Linked DNA regions of Mus musculus. The protein of the gene in region 1 binds, or shares a complex with, the protein of each later gene. Links are inferred from orthologs where the notes say so. Each region holds a gene or a part of one and is shown in the gene's direction. Other genes may lie near its edges.

The links.
Region 2: Cnot2 (region 1) and Cnot8 share a complex: the UniProt entries of both Homo sapiens proteins name them as parts of the CCR4-NOT complex. The link is inferred for Mus musculus from reciprocal best matches to the Homo sapiens genes CNOT2 and CNOT8.

The regions. Positions count from the first base shown.
Region 1 is NC_000076.6:116,495,450-116,505,809, reverse strand, and holds part of Cnot2 (CCR4-NOT transcription complex subunit 2), read left to right. Parts: intron 1-1,695; coding exon 1,696-1,775; intron 1,776-4,492; coding exon 4,493-4,618; intron 4,619-6,343; coding exon 6,344-6,468; intron 6,469-7,351; coding exon 7,352-7,472; intron 7,473-7,567; coding exon 7,568-7,724; intron 7,725-10,360. UniProt on the Homo sapiens protein: Component of the CCR4-NOT complex which is one of the major cellular mRNA deadenylases and is linked to various cellular processes including bulk mRNA degradation, miRNA-mediated repression, translational repression during translational initiation and general transcription regulation.
Region 2 is NC_000077.6:58,107,632-58,117,991, forward strand, and holds part of Cnot8 (CCR4-NOT transcription complex subunit 8), read left to right. Parts: intron 1-1,924; 5' UTR 1,925-2,018; coding exon 2,019-2,135; intron 2,136-3,628; coding exon 3,629-3,822; intron 3,823-5,420; coding exon 5,421-5,582; intron 5,583-6,318; coding exon 6,319-6,463; intron 6,464-7,633; coding exon 7,634-7,744; intron 7,745-9,807; coding exon 9,808-9,957; 3' UTR 9,958-10,360. UniProt on the Homo sapiens protein: Has 3'-5' poly(A) exoribonuclease activity for synthetic poly(A) RNA substrate. Its function seems to be partially redundant with that of CNOT7.

The DNA.
Region 1 (10,360 bases):
CGCTGAGCTACGGAAAACCTTTCACAATTGCATGCAGAGTATCTCAAAACAGTGCTCCTCTAAATTTTATGTCTAGAGATTAAAAACAAACAAACAAAAAATTAAGCTAGTGTTTTTCTTTCCATTTGTACTGTACAAATAAGAACAGTGATTCAACTGTTTGGGTAACATGAGAGTTATATCTGAAATGTAAAGCTTTGTTGCAAAGCAACATAAATTTGAGTCACATGTCATATGTATGTTATACTTAGTTTCACACCGTCCTGTAGTTGTTGCTGTCCTGGCCACCTCACTTCCTCTTTGTCAATCTGTACTCAGATGGGTGCTTAGCACACTTCCTGCTTAGCCTCTGTCCCACAACTCCAGTTGTTCTGTGTAGGCTCTATCTATAGTATCCTGTCATTTTAATCTAAGTTTTTAAGCAATTATTTACAACATGTCATTATAACTCTTTTTGATAGCTTAACTGTATTGTTTAGGCTTTATGGCATCATTCTGCATTCTTGTTCATTAAATATTTTTACTTTCTTGTATATTTCACATTTTAATTAGTCAAAAAATACTTTGCATAAAAATGTCACTGTAATAAAACTCTTAACTTCTACTTATGTATACTACTTATAAATTGTTTTTGCTATGAAATGGCTTCAGCTGAATATTAAATCTGTATTTGAGGGGACTTATATAACCAGTAGCTCTAGTATAATAGGAACAAATGTTTGTTGACACTCTACCTTTGCTCTAGAATGTTGTTCCACTAGCTGCATAGCTTAACCAAAGGTGGCTAGGTCTACTGGATCAGGCAGCGAAGTTACAGTTGTCATCTCCAGATGCTTAGCTCTGCTATGCACTGGCACACTAACCTACAAGAAGACTATTTCATGATAAAGTTTCTTTGTAGAATCTTCATTAATAATCCTTGTTGACATTCTTAATTATCTGGTCTTCTTTTGAATGCAGTTCCTTTTTATTGTTTTGCTTCGGTTTATACAAAAGAAAAAGGGGGGTTGTTTATAATTATTTGCAGAAACCAAGTTATGCATTAATTCAAAATTGAGAGTACTATGTGGAACTTTTTTTCTGTTTAGTAGATGAAAACTAAGCTCTATTTAAGATATGAATGATGAGTTTTAAAACATTAAATTCAGTTTTTTTAAAAGTAACCGGTCAGTTTAATTCAGGTCAAGTCAACATTTATTGATTACCTTGTAAATCTAAACACCAGGGGGCAGAGAATGAATAAGACATAGACTCCCAGGAAAGAATAGTTGGAAAAGACAGGTTGCAAAGAGAAGACTTGCACTGAAAAGCAAGCTTTATAAGTCAGGAACAAAAGCAAGTGTTGAGAGGGGTAATCTTTACCTACTGTATACTGTTGAAGTAGATGCATTTATCCAGAAAGCTAGCACACCAGCACACATTAAATGATACTCTTCATCTCCGTTCTTCACCACTCATAACTAAGTTTCTTTTTCGGTTTTTAAAATTAATTTGTTTAAATTGTTTGATTCTTTCTTGTTCATTGAAGAATTTTAGAGAAATTTTTAAATTAAAATATTGTAGTCTCAAATTAGCATTGGTTTTGAAACATATTATTGTTTTATATGAGGAGACCCAAAATATATACTTTTATTTTTCTACATCTCAAAGTTAGTGTTCTTACTGTATATCTAAAATTATTTTCTATGTACCCAGTATGTCTGGATTTGGAATGAACAGGAATCAGGCATTTGGAATGAATAACTCCTTATCAAGTAACATTTTTAATGGAACAGGTAAGCTTACTCTGGAGCTAGTGCCCTAATGAAAGTACAGTAGAATTCTGCACTGCAAGCAAATCAGCACCCTGCTCTCTGGATGGTAGCAGGATTTTACTCTTTTACATAGAATTTAGTTTAGTGGGAAACTGTCAGTGGTAGGATTTAATTAAACAGCAGAGAGTCGTTTAAATGTCCCCCTAACTTGGCCTTGCAACATAGTATTTTGCATTGTAACATCAGAATTATTTCTAACATCTAAAGAGAGTAAATACTAATTTGGACTATATTTGTGTCTCAGAATCTTGGTGTTTTTCTTTAAAATGTTTCCTGTCCTTTGCCCTGTCACTGAGGAAGAGTAGTATATCCTAGGTTGGGTGGTAGGACACTCTGGTTTTAGATACTCAGACTGAAGAGAAGAATCGAAATCGTAGGAAGCACTCAGCAGTTTTAAAAATCACTTAATGAAAAGTTTCACATTTAATCCTTAAGAATTTTGACCCAGTATTATCTATAAGATTGAGCTACCTGGAAAGTAACTTGATTTTTGACAAAAACTAAAGTCTACTGGTTTCTTAAACAGGGAGTGGTAGGTATTGCTGGTTAGCCGTGCCTCTCAGTGCTTTGGTGGTGAGAAAATAAGGGATGTTGCCATGATTAGTGCATCAGTAGGACCAGTATTAGTGTTACTGGGCGCTCTGTATGTGAGGTGGTGGTGAGAGGAGAGGTGTGAGGTATAGTATGCATATGCTGCAGAAGACCTAAAAGGGAGCCCTTTTTTACCTATAGGTTTTTAGCTTCTGGGCATTCTGATGGTTTGTTGAATAACTTAAGTGGACCAGCCAAGATTAAAGCCATTGAAAGAAATGGAAGACTTTAAGCATTTAAATTGTATATCCATTTCTTTCAATGGAAGATTTTTAAGCATTTAAATATTATAGTTTTCTGGGTGTGACTTTAAAACCTATCAACTTTGTAATTCTTAAAACAAAGTTATATACTTCATTGACTTTAAAGAGTTCACTTTTTCATACCTAGCATGTGAAGTCTGGCTACCTTTCACATTTCCACTGAATAATGTTTTTAATATGCTACTATAAAGTTTCAGAAATTTAAAATTCTTAGATTTTATACTGAGAAAATTATAAATTGTTGGTTAAAATATATTCTAACCTAATACATGACAATTTTAAATTAGTCATGGAAATATCTAAGAACATGTATTAAAAGTTAATTTTTACTTGGAGAAGTTTATAATTAATCATAATTTGAGAGATACTAACTTATAAATTAAAACAGTAAATATGATTTTAATTTCTTATACTTTACCGATACTGTATTTTTAGTGGAAATTTAAAGAAAAATTTGTGAGAAATGGTTTATCTTTACCTTTATACTTATAGTTTTAAATGATCACCTTTCCTGGTGTATTCATACAGTCCTTTTGTCTTAATAAATGAAGTTACTCAGAGGATAGTAATTATACTATTGGGAAAATTTTCAGAAAAGTCAAAGTTAATTGAAAAACGGCCTCAAAACTATACATGCTTATAAAACGAGGCAAAATATAAAGAAAATGATTTCATACTGCTAAATTATAGGTAGGAAATTAAGTAGTTCAAAATTAGAATACAGGTTAAGAACAGGAAAGGTTGAGGGAAAAATAATTTAAAAAAATAGCCAGAATAAAGAAGTGGGGTTAACTGTTTATGTCTAATGGTAGCGGTATAATTTAAAACAAAACAAAAAGATCTTTATTCAGTATATTTATTGAGCGCCTACTGTGTAACAGGCAGTATAAACTTCTGGGGTTGATGATTGCTCTATTCCCCACCTACTCCTGACACATAAGAGGAGTCCATCCTTGCGTGGAGCTCACAAACACATGCACATGTACACATTTTTGTCTCATTTTAAAGTATCCTGGGCAGAAGTCCTCAGGGCTTCTCTATTTGCCGTTTGCCTCAAAGTCTTTGTGGACATTTGTAAGAGGTAGTGTCATCGTCATATCTTTATAGTTGAAGTTCCAAGTAATGTAGATCTTGCCCTGTCCAGTGTTAATGAAGAGCTCAACAGTGCAGCTCCTGCTCCTCACAGGCTCTGTGTTTCATTGCCATCTTCCATCAAGGGCAAAAAATGCCCAGCCCTCTCCTTTATGTCTCCACCTCCAGACCTGGGTAGTTTGAGACACTGGCAGCATGCTGCTTTCCTCAGTTATTAGGGAATGAATCCCATGAGGCAAAACCAGTCCACAGAGTCCACAGCATGCACGCCCACTGTCGTGTACCTACCACACCACTCTACCTACCACACCACAGCACGCACGCCCACTGTCGTGTACCTACCACACCACTCTACCTACCACACCACAGCACGCACGCCCACTGTCGTGTACCTACCACACCACTCTACCTACCACACCACAGCATGCACGCCCACTGTCGTGTACCTACCACACCACTCTACCTACCACACCACAGCATGCACGCCCACTGTCATGTACCTACCACACCACTCTACCTACCACACCACAGCATGCACGCCCACTGTCGTGTACCTACCACACCACTCTACCTACCACACCACAGCATGCACGCCCACTGTCATGTACCTACCACACCACTCTGCACTAGGAAGGAAGAAGACGCTGTTGTTTCACATGAGATGCTTGGCTTTTATAATCTCGTTGTAAATGTTTGTGGAGTCAGTAACGAGCATTATCTCTTATCATTTAGATGGCAGTGAAAATGTGACAGGATTGGACCTTTCAGATTTCCCAGCGTTAGCTGACCGGAATAGAAGGGAAGGGAGCGGCAACCCAACTCCATTAATAAACCCCTTGGCTGGAAGAGCTCCTTACGGTAATGCATGTTCTTAGTTCTTTATTTACCAAATAAAGGCTACAGTCATGTGTACTACACACGTATGTGTCTGTATGTGCATGCTTGTAGGTATTTATGTTGTCAGACCAGGTTAACATTATTTTGTCAGAATTCATAATTTGAAAATTGATTTTTTTTCTTTCTATGTATCCACCATAGCAAAGTTGAGTGGTAAACTTTAGTACAGAAATCTAAATACTTGATTTCATTGCTATTCAGAAGTTATTTCTTCCGTTCCGCATGCTTTAGTTTAATATATGTGATTAATTTTGTGGCTTAGCTTTTGTTAGTTGGCCCTACCTTTAAGAGAATATGTCCCTGGTAATTAATAATAACTGCATTGAGGTATGTCTCTCTTAAGTGAAGATTTCTCTAAATTCACACTGGGGCTGGAAAGTTCATTTCAGAAGTCTGCGGGTGCTTATTTAGGTAGAACATTTAGCAACACTTTGAACTTTTGGCTTCTGTGTACCAGCATAGGCTCTTCTCCCATCCGTGTGATGTGGCACACGTTTCTGCAAACTGGCAAACGCCCTCTTGCCAAGCCTGTGAGAACCAATGCTTACGGTTTTGTATTTTTACAGATTCTTGGCTATGATTACTATACCCAGTCACTCTTTTTACAGTCTCTATAAGTTAAGAGATTTGGAGTAGAGCCTGAATATCAATGTTAAGAAAACCATATGCAGTGACAGAATAGCAGCTGAGACAAAAACTTTTGTGATATCAGCATAGCCAAACTCTTGTTTCTTGTGGGTGAGATCTCATATAGACTGGTATCAAGGCAATAATTAGATGGGTTTATTCATCATTTATTTTAAAATAGAGCTAATATTTTCTCCATAATCAAGGGTTTCAAGTTCTGAACTTCTGGATATGAGTAAAAATAATGTGTAGAGGAAAAACTTTATTGATCATATCTTAAACCTTTCAAATCTGTTTTCCCAAAATAAGAGAATGTGCCGTGCCCTGAAGTTGCGTGCCTAGCTGCTTGCCTCTCAGTTCAGATGCTAATGTTGTTAACCTTTCCCCATAGGTCCTTTCTTTCATCCCTTTAAACTTTCCCGTTGCTCTCCTTGGACCATCTCTAGTTTCTCCATTTCCTTCTTGAATTGTGGAGCCCCAAACTGGATTTTGTTCTCCAATAAGGGCCCGACTAATGACAAGTATAGTGGGAAGAGTATTTCTCAGTCCTTGCATGTTTTACATCTGTAACATGGAGTCCAAGAACATGAGAAATAAAGTGGAATTGTTTTATAATTGGTTGCAATTTGCTCACTCTGTAAGTCACTTTTAAGTAGAATACTGACATGTTCTTTTACATTTTATTATATTCATTTTCATTTGACAGCTAACTGGTGTTTATGGCATCTAGTCAGATATTTAAAGCTAGCCTGTAAGCCGGCATTTTGAATATTATTACCAATATCAAATACTATTTTAAGCACCTATATAACATTAGATTGGAATTTCAGGATTACCACTTGTTTTTCTTGTATTGCTTTATATGTTGCTTCTTGTCAGCAGTAAATCAAAATTTCATTCTTTATCGTTATCCTGAATATTAATTTTTGAGTTGCCAGTTCACATGCTTTTTTAAAAAAGCTTTTGGTATATTGTGATGAGCAAAGTTAGTTTCTTATATAGTTTATAAGACAGTATCATAGATTCAATTGCATTTTCTGGATTCTTTTCATTACATAGTTGGAATGGTAACAAAACCTGCAAATGAGCAATCCCAAGACTTCTCAATACACAACGAAGATTTTCCAGCATTACCTGGTTCCAGCTATAAAGATCCAACGTCAAGTAATGACGACAGCAAATCTGTAAGTAGCTGAGCACCTTGTGTGTGAGTGGTGTAGTTTTCTCCCTTTAGAATTGCCTGACACTAATAGTTACTGACTAGACGCTGCTGCACAACTGTTTGAGCACTGTAATCATCTAACTTGAAGACTGTAGAAAGCTTTATAACTTAGAAGGTAGCATTTTTTTCCTATTTCATGTAGGTTTGCAAATTTCTGTTGAACTTGTGAGTTAATTTAGACTTTTATTGTAGTCCCTGTCAGCTGGACCCCATGACGTTTGGTTATATAGACTTCTAAGGAGCTCTCTTTTTCTTGAGTAAGTTTTCTCCTTGAAGAATCTCTATGCACATTTTAATACCTGTGTTGATTCAGCGACCTCAGCTTCTGATTTAAAGTGTGTTTATTCCTTCCAACATTCATGGCAGAGAGCTGGTTTTTTTGTTTGTTTTTTGTTTTTTGTTTTTCTGTATGTTTGATGGGTAAGGATGGAAATAAGTATAAGTTTTGCAAGGTCATATATTCCTAGTTTACCTTTGAGGTTTCTTTGGTAATATTTTTAGTACTGTAATATGTAATTACTCTTTTTATATAGAAGTGTGCATCAACAAAGCATAAAACCCCAAGAAAGACAGATATTTTTCATATTTTACCCCCTGTGATCTATGACAGATTTAAAAAAAACAAAAAAGAAAAGGCTAATTTTTTCAAGGTTTCTTGCCTCATTTGTAGACACAGAATTTATTTGTATTTCGTGAGGCAGTTATGGGGAGACAATTTTCAAGTAGAAAACAGATAATTACTACTAATTTAGATATAATAGTGGATGGCTAGCAAGGGGTTGATGAATTTAAACTTAGATATTTAGCACATCTAATGTCATGCTTTTTTTTTTTTTTCGTGCTAGAATTTGAGTACATCGGGGAAGACGACTTCAAGTACAGATGGACCCAAATTCCCTGGAGATAAAAGTTCAACAACACAAAACAATAATCAACAGAAAAAGGGGATCCAGGTGTTACCTGATGGTGGGACTCCATAAATATGTCAGAGATATTTGAAAGTACAGTTTTCTCTACTTTCCTTAATATAAAGTAAAAATAACTGTGTTTTTCTTAACCAGGTCGAGTTACTAACATTCCTCAAGGGATGGTGACGGACCAATTTGGAATGATTGGCCTGTTAACATTTATCAGGGCAGCAGAGACAGACCCAGGAATGGTACATCTTGCTTTAGGAAGTGACTTAACAACATTAGGCCTCAATCTGAACTCACCTGAGTAAGTTTTTCCCTCCATGTTTGTACATATCTTCTAGTCTGTAATAGATTCTCATACTGTTACCTTTTTCTTTTGAAGACAGAGTAACCCAGGCAGGCATTATAGGTGTTATCCTGTATCCTGTGCCACCACAGAGAGCCTCAGACTTGTAGCTAATCTCATCAGCAGCCTGCATACTCCTGGGCTGTTCTTTCTAGCTAGCCCATAGATCACTGAGAAATACCAAGGATCCATCTACAAGGCATTTGGGTTAGTCCCCAAGCCACATCTTTATCCAGCCCATTGATCTTGTCATTATTCGGAACTAAGTTTACCTTGTTGCTTGCTTTTTAACTATCACTGTTTCCCATGCCTCTCTTGTGGCTGTGACTTCTATATCATTTGATTCTATTGCGACTTCTCATTCTCTAGCTCTCTGTCTTCCTCGGTGTTCTTGTCTCCTCCTCTTTGATGAGCTCACATCCTTCTCACCATTAAATTTTATGATGAATCATAATTGCTCACTTAGGCAAGCTTGACTGTCTGCCCTTCTCACTTCTCATCTTAAAAGTCTGTACCCATTGTTGTATCTGTTTGTTTGATTCTTGACCATCTTCTGGTTGGACTACAGAAAAGTGTAATTTCACTGTCTGGTCCTGCTGCACACTGATGCTCAAGAACTTAAACTTGAGTCCAAAATTTTGCAGGCATACTTCTTTTGTTTTGTTTTTTTTGTTTGTTTGCTTTTTTTTTTGTTTGTTTTTTGTTTTTGGTTTGGTTTGGTTTGGTTTGGTTTTTTTGTTTGTTTGTTTTTTTCGAGACAGGGTTTCTCTGTATAGCCCTGGCTATCCTGGAACTCACTTTGTAGACCAGGCTGGCCTCGAACTCAGAAATCCTCCTTCCTCTGCCTCCCCAGTGCTGGGATTCAAGGCGTGCGCCGCCACCGCCCTGAGCAGCCATATTTCTACCTGATGACATAATCCTTTCAGAACCTTTTGTTTGCTTTTGGATGTGTTTGGGTTGGTTGGTTGGTTGGTTGGTTTGCTGCTGTTATCCTATGTGACTGTTTTGAATTTCATCAAGCCAGGAATAGCATTTCCTCCTGTCCGTAGCTCTCATAATGACCTGGCTTCTATTTCTACTTTACAAAGACAGGTGTAAGCAGATAGAAGAGGACATTAACCTGGTCCTGCCTCCAAATCTAATGACCTGCCACCAATCTAAATCTGACATGACCTTGCCAAAATCTTTGGTCCATGCTTCCTACTAAAACTTCATCAAAACTCATGAGTGGGAGTCTTAATTTTTTCTCCTTTTCCTGGTGCTGGCATCCAAACCAGTGTTGGACACAGTAAGCAAGTGCTGTGCCCCCGAGCTACACCCTCAGCCCGCTTCCCCCCAGGACTTTGGAAATGGTCTTGGCTGGTGTAGTGTAGTCCAAGGTGGCTCCTTAAAGCACTCCTGCTTCTGTGTGAGTGATGATGTTATAGCCACATACATGCCATGATTTCCTTCCAACTTACAGCATTTCTCTTTTCACATTTCTAGTGCCAAATACAGAGAAACTTATTTTTCTATTTGTATTGAAATTACATTATCTTGATCAACCTCTTTTGAGTTATCCTCATTCTTAATTCTTTTTTTTTTTTTGGAAGCAAACCGTCTCAAATGAGTCATCCTCATTTTTCTAACCTGTCTTCTTTCACTCTACTGAATCCACTGTTGCGAGGAATCCGTTCCTGTGATTCCAGTAAGCGCTCTGCAGCATCCCCACTTTCTCTTGGTGCTCCTTCCTCACTTGACTTTGAAGATACCATTCTTACCTGGTAACGTTGGCTCATCCCTCAGTTTCCCTTGCTCATATCACCTTTGGATTGTCTTCTTGATGATCTTATCTAGACTTGTGCTTTTAAGGACCACATAGATTGAAAATTCCAAACACCTACTTCCATGGCAGACTTTTTTTCTTGAACTTGAGATTTTAGATGCCGTTATTAGCTAAATATCTCTTTTAAGATTTGGGTTAAACCTACACCATGGCTATGCTTTTTTGATCTCCATTAATACTTCCAGAAACGACATCATCCTTAGTCTCTCCTTTTCTCTCAGATGCAGTCCTTTCAAGTAGATACAGAATCCAATCATAGTCTCATTAAGTTGCTACCACCCTGGTTTGTTGCCTGAATATTCTGCCAGCATATCACAGCAGGGATTCTTGGTTTGCTCTTTTTGTATGGTTTTGTGTAGCACTCAAGATAATTCTTTCTGTGCTCAGCCCCAAGTACAGATTTGTTGCTCTGATTTAAACCTCCCTGAGTGGCAGCCCTGCAACGCTCACATCATCCTGCCTTTCTTCTGACTCCACCTTGGAAGTGTTTCCCTGCCTTCCTCTGCCTCTCATGTCACGCTGTCTCTGCCTCAGTTGTTCTAATATTCCCCTTGGCTAGTACAGTGTTCTACTAGCTATTGACCTGTGATTATCGCTCTTATATCCTTGAATATTTGTTTACATCTAAGCTTGTCAAATCGGACTTAAACTGATCACCCTATTTAATTATATAACCAGTATTATTCATTTGTTATGCTAATTATCTGCCAGTGTCCAGTTAGCCATACACTTTTACAGAAAGTAAGTTTTCCAATATCAGCAGTCTTCG
Region 2 (10,360 bases), on another chromosome or scaffold:
GAAGCAGCTGGTGTTGATGGGTGCAGTGCTTGGGGGCAGAGAAGGGCAGTTTTACAAGTTCCGAGGACAGCCTGGAGAACTCTTGACAAACATTTTCTCAGTTGTCAGGAAGCTGAATTTACTGCGCATTCATTGTGAACCAGCTTCTTCCCTGTTCTCTATTAGTTCACTTGCAAGCCTTTATTCATGAAAGAAAAACAGGGGAAGAAATGGGTTGTGTGGTAGCTCCACAGGTGTGTGTATGTTGAGAGCCACCACACAGCTTTCAGTTTCAGGGGAGCATCTGAAGAGTAGCCTGCCTTGAGTGAATGAATGGTCTCTTAAGGAGAAGTAGACAGCATTGAGAGTGATCCTCATTGTCTTCTGGAGTCTCTACTGTATGTCAGTTCCAAAGCTGGGAAACAAGGATTTATTTCCCATGCGCTGGTCTTAGGAAACCCCTCATGTTCATTTACTGTTGCTGCAAGTGTTTGCCCCTGTGCACTGGAGCTCACTGCTACATACTGACTGTGTTCAGGAGCCATACAGTGGGGGGTTTGCCTTATGAGGAAGCTCTTACGTCATTATGCATCCCTCCTCCCAGGGTCTCTCTAGATTGCTACACTGGCCTCTAGCTTGTGTTTAGTTGTGTCTGTGTGTCTGTGTGTGTTTTGGAGTCAAGGATCAAGCCTGAGGCTGTAAGCATGAGCTCTGTCTATGCCTTTTCTGTTCTGTTAATAACTGAGCCTTTTGCGTTGGTTTGCTGTAGTGACAAGTGTTCCGGTGGTGTTGAATTTGACCCGGCCCAGTACTTCCTGTGCTGTACACCGCCGGCCATTCTGCTCCCGTTTGAATTACTTTTACTGGCCTCCTCTTTTTTAATTATTTTACTTTATGTGTATAAATATTTTGCCTGCAGAACGGCTGTGTACCATGTGTCTGTTTGGTGCTTGTTGAGGCCAGAAGAGGGCATCAGACCCCTGGAACTAGAATCATGGTTGGATGTAAGCCACCATCTGGGTACTAGGAACTGACCCTGGATCCTTTATTAGAGCACCAGTGCTTTTAACCGCTGAGTCATTTCTTCAGCCCTATCACCCTCTGTTCTTATTGTGAACTTTACTGCCTAACTTATTTATTATGAGTAAAAAAGTAGACATCACAGGGCTGCAGAGATGGCTCAGCAGTCAGGACCGGTTTCTGCTCTTGCAGAAAACTTAGGTTTGGTTCCTAGCACCATATGGTAGTTACAGCCATCTCTAAGTACAGTTCCAGAGAATCTGATGCCTGCCTTTGTGCATTGTGCACTGCGTGCGCATGGTATATATAAAATCAAAACCACCCCTGTCCAGCGTAACTTGCCTTTTTTTTTTTAAAAGATTTATTTATTTATTTGATGTATATGAGTACGCTGTTGCTGTCTTCAGACACATCAGAAGAGGGCATCAGATCCCATTACAGATGTTTGTGAGCCACCATGTGGTTGCTGGGAATTGAACTCAGGACCTCTGGAAGAGCAGTGGTGCTCTTAACCACTGAGCCATCTCTCTAGCCCAGTAACTTGCCATTTTTAATGTCATGTTAAGGATTCGGGTCAACAGGTAGGGTTTTGTTTGTATCAAGAGAGAACAAACTTGACAAAGGCAAGTGTAAGCACTCCATAGGTAGTGGATGCTGAGTGCACTGACTGTTAATGAAGTTATGGTAAAACTCTGGTTTGTGTGTGTTTTCAGATAGGGTCTTGCTAGGTAGCCCTGGTTGACCTTAAATGGACTCAGTATGCAGTCCACGCTGGTCTCCCTCCTTCTACCTTGGCCTCCTGAGTGTTAGGATCATGTGTCTGGGTCACGTATCTGACTAAAATACAATTTTAATGTGTTTGATTTGTAGATATCTTATACCACCATGTAAACTTAATGTGATTTCAAACTGTCTTTATATCTAGATTGGATCCAGTGTGGACAATTAAATCAAACAGAAGGAGGCTTGTTTGTTTTTTTACATAGTTGGCTCACGGTGGCTCCTCAGGTGCCTTCAGGATGCCTGCGGCACTTGTAGAAAACAGTCAGGTCATCTGTGAGGTGTGGGCCAGCAATCTTGAGGAAGAGATGCGGAAGATCCGTGAGATTGTCCTCAGCTACAGCTATATCGCTATGGTGAGTAGGCCCTCCCCACCAAAGCCAGGGAAGGTTAGACTGATGGAAACCTAATTGCTTTTGTGAATCAAGGCAGCTAGTGTCTCTGAGGAGGGCATAGCTTCTGACACAAGTTTTTGTAATGTGTTCCTCTGATGGAAAGTCTTTTATATTTTTATTTTTGTTTATTTAGATAGGATCTGGATATGTAAGCCCTGGCTAGCCCAGCACTTGCTGGGTAGTCCAGGCAGGCCTTGTGCTTATCCTCCTGCTTCTGCCTTCTTGGTGCTGAGCTATGGTTGCCCCATTGTGCCCAGTATGTGTGGTGCTGGGAAGTGCTCTAGTGTCTGACCTACCTCAGCCCCTTTGGGTATATCTCCTCACACATGGGAATTTGAGCATGTGGTACTTATTAATTTTTTAAAATTTGGAGACAGGGTTTCATGTAACAGGCATATTTCAAGAGGACGACTTGACTTTCTGATCCTCCTGCCTCTATCTCCCAAGTGCTAGGAAGATAGGCATGTACCAACATGCCCAGCCTATGTTTTCAAAATATTCAAACATTTTATTGCTAGCACAAAAAAGGCAGGAGATGTCACATTGCAGATCTGGTGTCTCTGGGTAAAGTGGGAAGGACTGGTACTGTGTGGCTTATTTTCCTGCCCAATGGCGGGTTAGGTGGCACTCTTCTTAGGCCAGCCCCTGAGCACGCAGGTGCTCTGTTTTACTCCAGGCTTGGAGCTTGCCACTGTCTGTATTCAAACCCTGCTTTCACTCCTCTGTCCATAAGAGGCACTAGCCTTACAAGCTCTCCCAGCAGGTTAAGATCCTGTCATCCCAAACACTGGGGGTGAGGGTGTGGGGTCAGGAGTTCAAGATCAATGAGTATAGGCCAGTCTGAGCTTTACAAGGGTATAAAAGGGTTTTATGTACACACGGCAGTGAAATAGTCACTCAGGAAAGAGGAAGGCTGCATTTGTCCTTTATAAAAACATTAGACCAAGGTGGGAGCTCTGAACAGCAGGCCATGAGCCGGGCTTCTCTTTCAAGTATACGTCACACCAAGAAGCTGATGGGATGGAGCGAAGCCCCTGTGAGCCACCCCATCTACTTGGCTGTATTTGTATTTAACTCATATTGGAAGGTCCTATCTGAAGGCTAGAGAGATGGCTCAGCAGTCGAGGGCACTTGTTCTTCCTGAGGACCATGGTTCAATTCACAGCACCCATATGATAGCTCACAACTGTCTGTAACTCCACTTCCAGGGGATTTGACCCTCTCCTACAGACACACATGCCACCAGTGCACTTGAAGTAAATGAATAAGTGAAAAAAGACGTTCCTACCTGAGCGCAGCTCCCTCTAGTCACCCATTCACCTGTCTGGGTTCTGTTGTGTTCTAGACCTTGGGAGCTTATCTTGGGCTTCTGTAAACTGAAGAGCAATTTTGCTCATGGGTTGCTGAGCACCACTGTTTGCTGAGGCTTAATGGTAAGAGGCTTTTGTTCCTAGGACACAGAGTTCCCAGGTGTTGTTGTACGGCCGATCGGTGAATTTCGAAGCTCCATAGATTACCAGTATCAGCTTCTGCGGTGCAATGTTGATCTTCTTAAAATCATCCAGCTGGGCCTTACGTTCACCAATGAGAAGGGGGAGTACCCGTCTGGAATCAACACATGGCAGTTCAACTTCAAGTTCAACCTGACGTGAGTGTCTTGGGAGACCCTCAGTGTTACTAGACAGCTGAGTTTGAGTGGGCTGGTTGCTGTAAGCTTTACTAATCATGTGGTTTTTGGGATTGAGGTGGGAGGAGACATGGTTTCTCTCTATTATGTTGCTCTGAGTGTCCTGAAACTTGCTATCTTTTTTTTTTTTTTTTTTTTTTTTGGTTTTTCAAGACAGGGTGTAGTCCTGGCTGTCCTGGAACTCACTCTGGAGACCAGGCTGGCCAGAGACCAGGCGGTCTCAGAAATCTGCCTGCCTCTGCCTCCCAAGTGCTGGGATTAAAGGCGTGTGCGACCACGCCCAGCTCTTTTTTCTTTTTTTTAAAAGATTTATTTATCTTTTATGTATGTATGTGAGTACACTGTAGCTGTCTTAAGACACACCAGAAGAGGGCATCAAATCCCTGTACAGATGGTTTTGAGCCACCGTGTGGTTGCTGGGAGTTGAACTCAGGACCTCTGGAAGCAGTCGGTGCTTTTAACCGCTGAGCCAGCTCTCCAGCCCCCAGCCCAAGATTTTTAACTGTTTTTTTTTGTTTTGTTTTGTTTTTTTGTTTTTGAGACAGGATTTTTCTGTGTAGCCCTGGCTGTCCTGGAACTCACTTTGTAGACCAGGCTGGCCTTGAATTCAGAAATCCTCCTGCCTCTGTCTCCTGAGTGCTGGGATTAAAGGCATGCGCCACCACGCCTGACCTTAACTGTTATTTTGTGTATTAATGTTTTGCCTGCATGTATATCTGTCCATCATGTATGTGCCTGGTGTCCACAGCAGTTAGCAGATCCCTGGGACTGGTAGTACGGATGGTTGGGAGCTAAGCCTGGGTCTTCTGTCACGGCAGCAAGAACTCGTAGTGCTGAGCCTCATCTCCAGCCCTGCCTTTTGTTTGTTTTATAAATAAACTTCAGGGGCTGGAGAGATGGCTCAGTGGTTAAGAGCGCCGACTGCTCTTCCAAAGGTCCTGAGTTCAAATCCCAGCAACCACATGGTGGCTCGCAACCATCCGTAATAAGTAAACTTCAGGGTTAGTTCTGTCTCAAGTTTGTTTTGTTAAATTCTACTGTAAATAATATAAAGAAGTGTAAATATGATTAAAAATTAAAAAAACCAAAGGCCGCATAGATGATAGTTCAGTGGTTAAAAGCCCAGGTTGTTCTTCCAGAGCTCCTGAGTTCAGTTCCCAGCAGCCACGTGGGCACTCTCTGTCTGTGATGGGCCTGAATGCCCTCTTCTGGTGTGCAAATATACAGACAAACATCCATATACATAAATAAATAAATATTTAAAAAAGATGAAAAACAGCATAAAAAAAATGTGTGGCTCAATGGTTAGGACACCGGCTGCCCCTCCAAAAGATCTGAGCTCAATTCCCAGAGCTGGGCTCACAATTGTTTAACTCATTCATTTACATAAAACACAATTTTAAGCAAGAGAATATAGGTTTTCTGTAATTAGGAAATACAAATCTGCTGGTTTTTGGAGTGTTTCAGGAGTTCTGTGTTTCCGAATCATAAGCTAACCATAACATCTCTCCTGCTTTGGTCTCACTGCCGCCAGCTCATAGTGACACCTTGTTTTTCAGAGAGGATATGTACTCCCAGGATTCCATAGATCTGCTTGCAAACTCAGGGCTGCAGTTCCAGAAACACGAGGAGGAAGGGATCGATACACTGCACTTTGCAGAGCTGCTTATGACATCGGGAGTGGTTCTCTGTGACAACGTCAAGTGGCTTTCATTTCACAGGTCAGTCCACGGGAACTGTGGCCTGTCTCTTCAGCATAGCTTCGCCCTTCTGACTGTAGGCTGCACTGGGGAGGAACTAAATTCTTGTTGATTTGAGTCCTCCTGGCTTTTTGGAAGCAGCAGTGAGGTGGTGTTGGTGTTCCTGTGTAGTGTTTGGGAGCACGTGAACACGCACATGGGCTTTGCATCACTTGACCTGCAGTGCTGTAGTGGCTGTGCAGTGCTGTCTTCCAGGTGGATGGAGGCTGCTGTGGGCTCGGTTATTTTCAGCCTGGTGTGGCTTGTCCTTTGAAATGTCCTCAAATACAGATATTCTTTAAATACTTTTTGGAAGGTGTTTATTTTTAAAGGGTATGTGTGTGTGTGGTATGTATAGGTATGTGTGTGAGTACCTAGGGAGCCAAAAGAGGATGCTGGGCCATTGCAGGTAGACTTACAGGCATTTGTGAGCTGTCTGACCTGGGTGCTGGGATTGGAACTCTGATTCAAAATTTCTCTTTAGGTGACCCTTCTCCTGGGCTCTTACGGCTTTACTTTTGAGTTTTGATTAATCAAATTCACACAAACTCTCAGGTTCTTGTGTGTTTCTCATCGTAGCTTTCCTTATGTAAATTTCCTCACTGAATGTAAAGCTGAGATCATCAGTGCTCTTTGAGAGGCCCAGCCCCCAGCCTGAGGTGGTGGTTTAAGGCTGGACTGAGGCTGCTTTCAGACATCTGCTTTATTCCTCCTTTAGTGGTTATGATTTTGGCTACATGGTAAAGCTGCTAACAGACTCTCGCCTGCCGGAAGAAGAACACGAGTTCTTTCATATCCTGAATCTTTTCTTCCCGTCCATTTACGATGTGAAATACCTGATGAAGAGCTGCAAAAACCTGAAGGTAACAGACGGCGTTTTCCTAATGCAGGCAATGAACGAGCAGACTCCCACACTCAGGCTTGTTTTGCATTAATAATGCATTCACTATGCTTTTTCTTGAGGCCTGCCAGGTGCCAGACTTATCTAAGGAGGATGTTAATCGAGCTTGCTCTCTCTTTAGCTGTCTTTGTTGGTGACTCTGGCACCAGAAAAGCCCTATTTCTTGCATCCTGAGGCTGCCTTCCTCTGAGGTTTGAGAACCTGACAGAGTAGTTGGTGACATGAGGCCATGTGCAGTATGTTGTGACTGTTCCACATTAAAAATCCCTCTGAGGGATTTTTAATTTTTTTCATTAATTTTTTAATTGGATATCTTATTTATTTACGTTTCAAATGTTATCCCCTTTCTTTCTTTCTTTCTTTTTTTTTTTTTTTCGAGACAGTGTTTCTCTGTATAGCCCTGGCTGTCCTGGAACTCACTCTGTAGACCAGGCTGTCCTCGAACTCAGAAATCCGCCTGCCTCTGCCTCCCGAGTGCTGGGTTAAAGGCGTGCGCCACCATGCCCAGCGTTATCCCTTTTTTTGATCTTCCCTTCTCCCCTGCAGAAACCCCCTATCCCATCCTCCTTCCTCTTGCTTCTATGAGGGTGTTAACCCCCACCCCCCCACACTCCTGCCTCCTGCCTCCCTGCCCTCAATTCCCATACACTGGGGTGTCTATCAAACCTTCATAGGACCAATGGCCTCTCCTCCCATTGATGCCTGACAAGTCCATCCTTGGCTACATATGTGGCTGGAGCCGTGTGTCCCTATATGTATACTCCTTGGTTGGTGGTTTAGTCCCTGGGAGCTCTGGTTGGTTGATACTATTGTGAGATTTTTAATTCTAAAAAGTTCAAGTTGTCCTGTGAGGTGGCTCAGTGGGTAAAGATGTGGGCTGCTAACCTTAATGGACCCGAGTTTGATCTGCGACATGATAGAGCTGACTCGTGAAGGTTGTCTCTCTTCTCTGCATGCACACAGAGCATGCAGCAGGGTACTGTTTGGGAAGAATAAGAGTGAAGGTCTGAAAAATGGCTACTGAAGCCTGTTAGATGAATGGCCTGTCCCACTGCTAAACGTTCATGAGTACACTTAGCTGAGTCCAGGAGAATAGTGTTGGTATGTGACACCCTTGTTTTCTGTCCCTTAGGGAGGCCTTCAGGAGGTGGCTGATCAGTTGGATCTGCAGAGGATCGGAAGGCAGCATCAAGCAGGCTCAGACTCTCTGCTGACGGGGATGGCTTTCTTCAGGATGAAAGAGGTAATGGCGCAGTGTGAGGCCCCTGAGTGTGAGGGTCTCTGAGATGACAGCTTCCAGGTGTGGGGTCTCTTGAGTGTGTGAGGCCTGAGTTTTCTTCTGCTTTCTACAGTAGGAATGTTATTTGTTAGTCTATCTACAGAGGCTGAGTTCTGTTAATTACTGGATATTATTTCTCTAAGGAAAAGTGAATTCTCTTTTAGGTTTCTGTTTTGTTTTGCTTTTTTAAAGATTTATCTTATATATGTATACACTGTCTTCAGACACACCAGAAAAGGGCCTCAGATCCTATTACAGATGGTTGTGAGCCACCTTGTGGTTGCTGGGATTTGAACTCAGCACCTCTGGAAGGAATAGTCAGTGCTCTTAACTACTGAGCCATCTCTCCAGCTCTTCTTTTAGCTTATTTATGTACTCCATTAAGTTTTAATATATATCTGAAGAGGAAAACACTTTGAAAAATTATAGTGAAAGCTGGGTAGTGGTGGTGTACAACTTTGAGCCCAGTACTTGGAAGGCAGAGGCAGGCCGATCTCTGAGTTCAAGGCCAGCCTGGTCTACAGATCAAATTCCAGGATGGGGGGGGGGGAGGAAAAATTACTATTGTTGATATTTTTCTTTTAGTTTTATTTAATTATTTAGTTGTTTGCTTATTTATGTATATTTTTTTCAGAGGTAGTTTCTCTGTGTAGCCCAGGCTAGCCTTAAACTCAAAGCTCCACCTGTCTGCCTCTGGAGTGTTGAGATCAAAGCATGAGCTACCACTGTTGGAAGGTTTGTTGATATATATAAAAATAAAAATTTTGGGTTTTTTTTGAGACAGGGTTTCTCTGTGCAGCCCTGGCTGTCCTGGAACTCACTGTGTAGATGGGGCTGGCCTCGAACTCAGAAATTCCCCTGCCTCTGCCTCCCAGGTACTGGGATTAAAGGTGTGCACCACTACACCCAGCTGATAATTTTAAGGAATGGATGTTGATAAAAAGGAGTGAGACATGGTATGGGTCTAATTTTAGAATGGAGAAAATGGCACTTGATATTTTTAGACAGGGTCTCACTGTGTAGCCGTGGCTAGCTTTAAACTCAGTCTGGAGATCTGCCTGCTCTCCTGCTCAGCCTCTTGAGTACAGAATTAAAGGTTTGTGCTTGTCCTTGAATCCATGGCTCTCTCCTTGCCTTAGCCTCAGGGTTGGGATTATAGCTGTGAACTGCACTGCCTGGCTGTTATTTCCAGTGTTTAATTAACTAGTTTTCTGTGGCTGTAACAATATGTGAGGCCAGGTTCAAAGGACCAGTTTATTTAGGTTTCTGACTTGAGACAGCTTAGCCAGGGGTTGGCTGGCTGTTATGGCACGTGAAAGCATAGTGTCTGTTCATTCTTTAGTGGTTTGGAAACAGGAAGAGGCTGAGTTGTGGCCCCAACCTCAAGGTTTTACCATGTTTCAGTAAACCTACCAGTTGGTGCTAAGCCTTTAACACATGGACTTCTAGGGACATTTTAGATCTAAAGAGTAACCAGTGTATTAGGCTGGTCCTTGCCAACCTGCTCCTTTGTTGATGGCTTGGAGATGTTTGTTATACTTAACAGAGGTGGCACTTGTGGCCAGGGCTGTGCTCAGCATCTTGTGATTGCACTGGACAGCTCCTGCCCAGATAGTAAGGTTGAGTTGCTTGCTGAGTGCTTGGTCCCCTCCTGCCTCAGCTTCTCGGGTGCTGGATTATGTGTGTGCCAGCACACCTGGCTTTCAGGACTTCATGACTGAGGAACCATGATGGAATGGAGCTGAAGTGACTTGGCAAGCCTGAGTCCTTAGTCACTCACTCCCTTGCTTGGCAGGGTGGTGACTCCACACAGCAGCAGCCCAAGGCTTCAGCACTGACAAGTCATAAGAATGCCAAGTCTGTTTAGGATGCAGAGCCGGGATGTGTACAATGGAGCAGAAAACGTCTGAGGGGATGTTTGGTATCTTTGTTGAGTTACTGTCCAGTGTGCTGTGTCAGGGCATGAGAAGCTGGGAGCTGGCATGACTCCTGGCTCCATTCTCAGATGGTTTTGTCCTGTTCTGCAGCTATTCTTTGAGGACAGTATTGACGATGCCAAGTATTGTGGGCGCCTCTATGGCCTGGGCACAGGGGTGGCCCAGAAGCAGAATGAGGATGTGGACTGTGCCCAGGAGAAGATGAGCATCTTGGCCATGATCAACAACATGCAGCAGTGATGGTGCGTGCACCGTGCGGTCCGTGCACCATGCCGCCTGTGACCTGCATCTGCTCCAAGCAGAGACTTTGGCTTTTTGTTTAAAGATGCCTTTATTTTAGATCCAGGAGGGGTTTGCTCTGAATTTGTAAACAAGTCTTCCTCGTCCTCATGCCCCCACCCCTCTGCTGCCTCCTGCCACCAGCATCCATGGCCCCATGGACACTTTTTTAAATCTCCAGGATGTCTGAAACAAACCAGTAAAATGTCTATGACTCTTACATGTTGTCATTCTTCTTCTTTTGGCTTTGCTGCTCTGATGAAGTTGCTCAGATGAGCTGTGGCTGCCAGAGAACAAGGTGTATGTTCTTGGGAAGCAGGTCTATGCCAGTGGGCTGTTTTGCCTTGTTTGTGCTTCTTCAGGA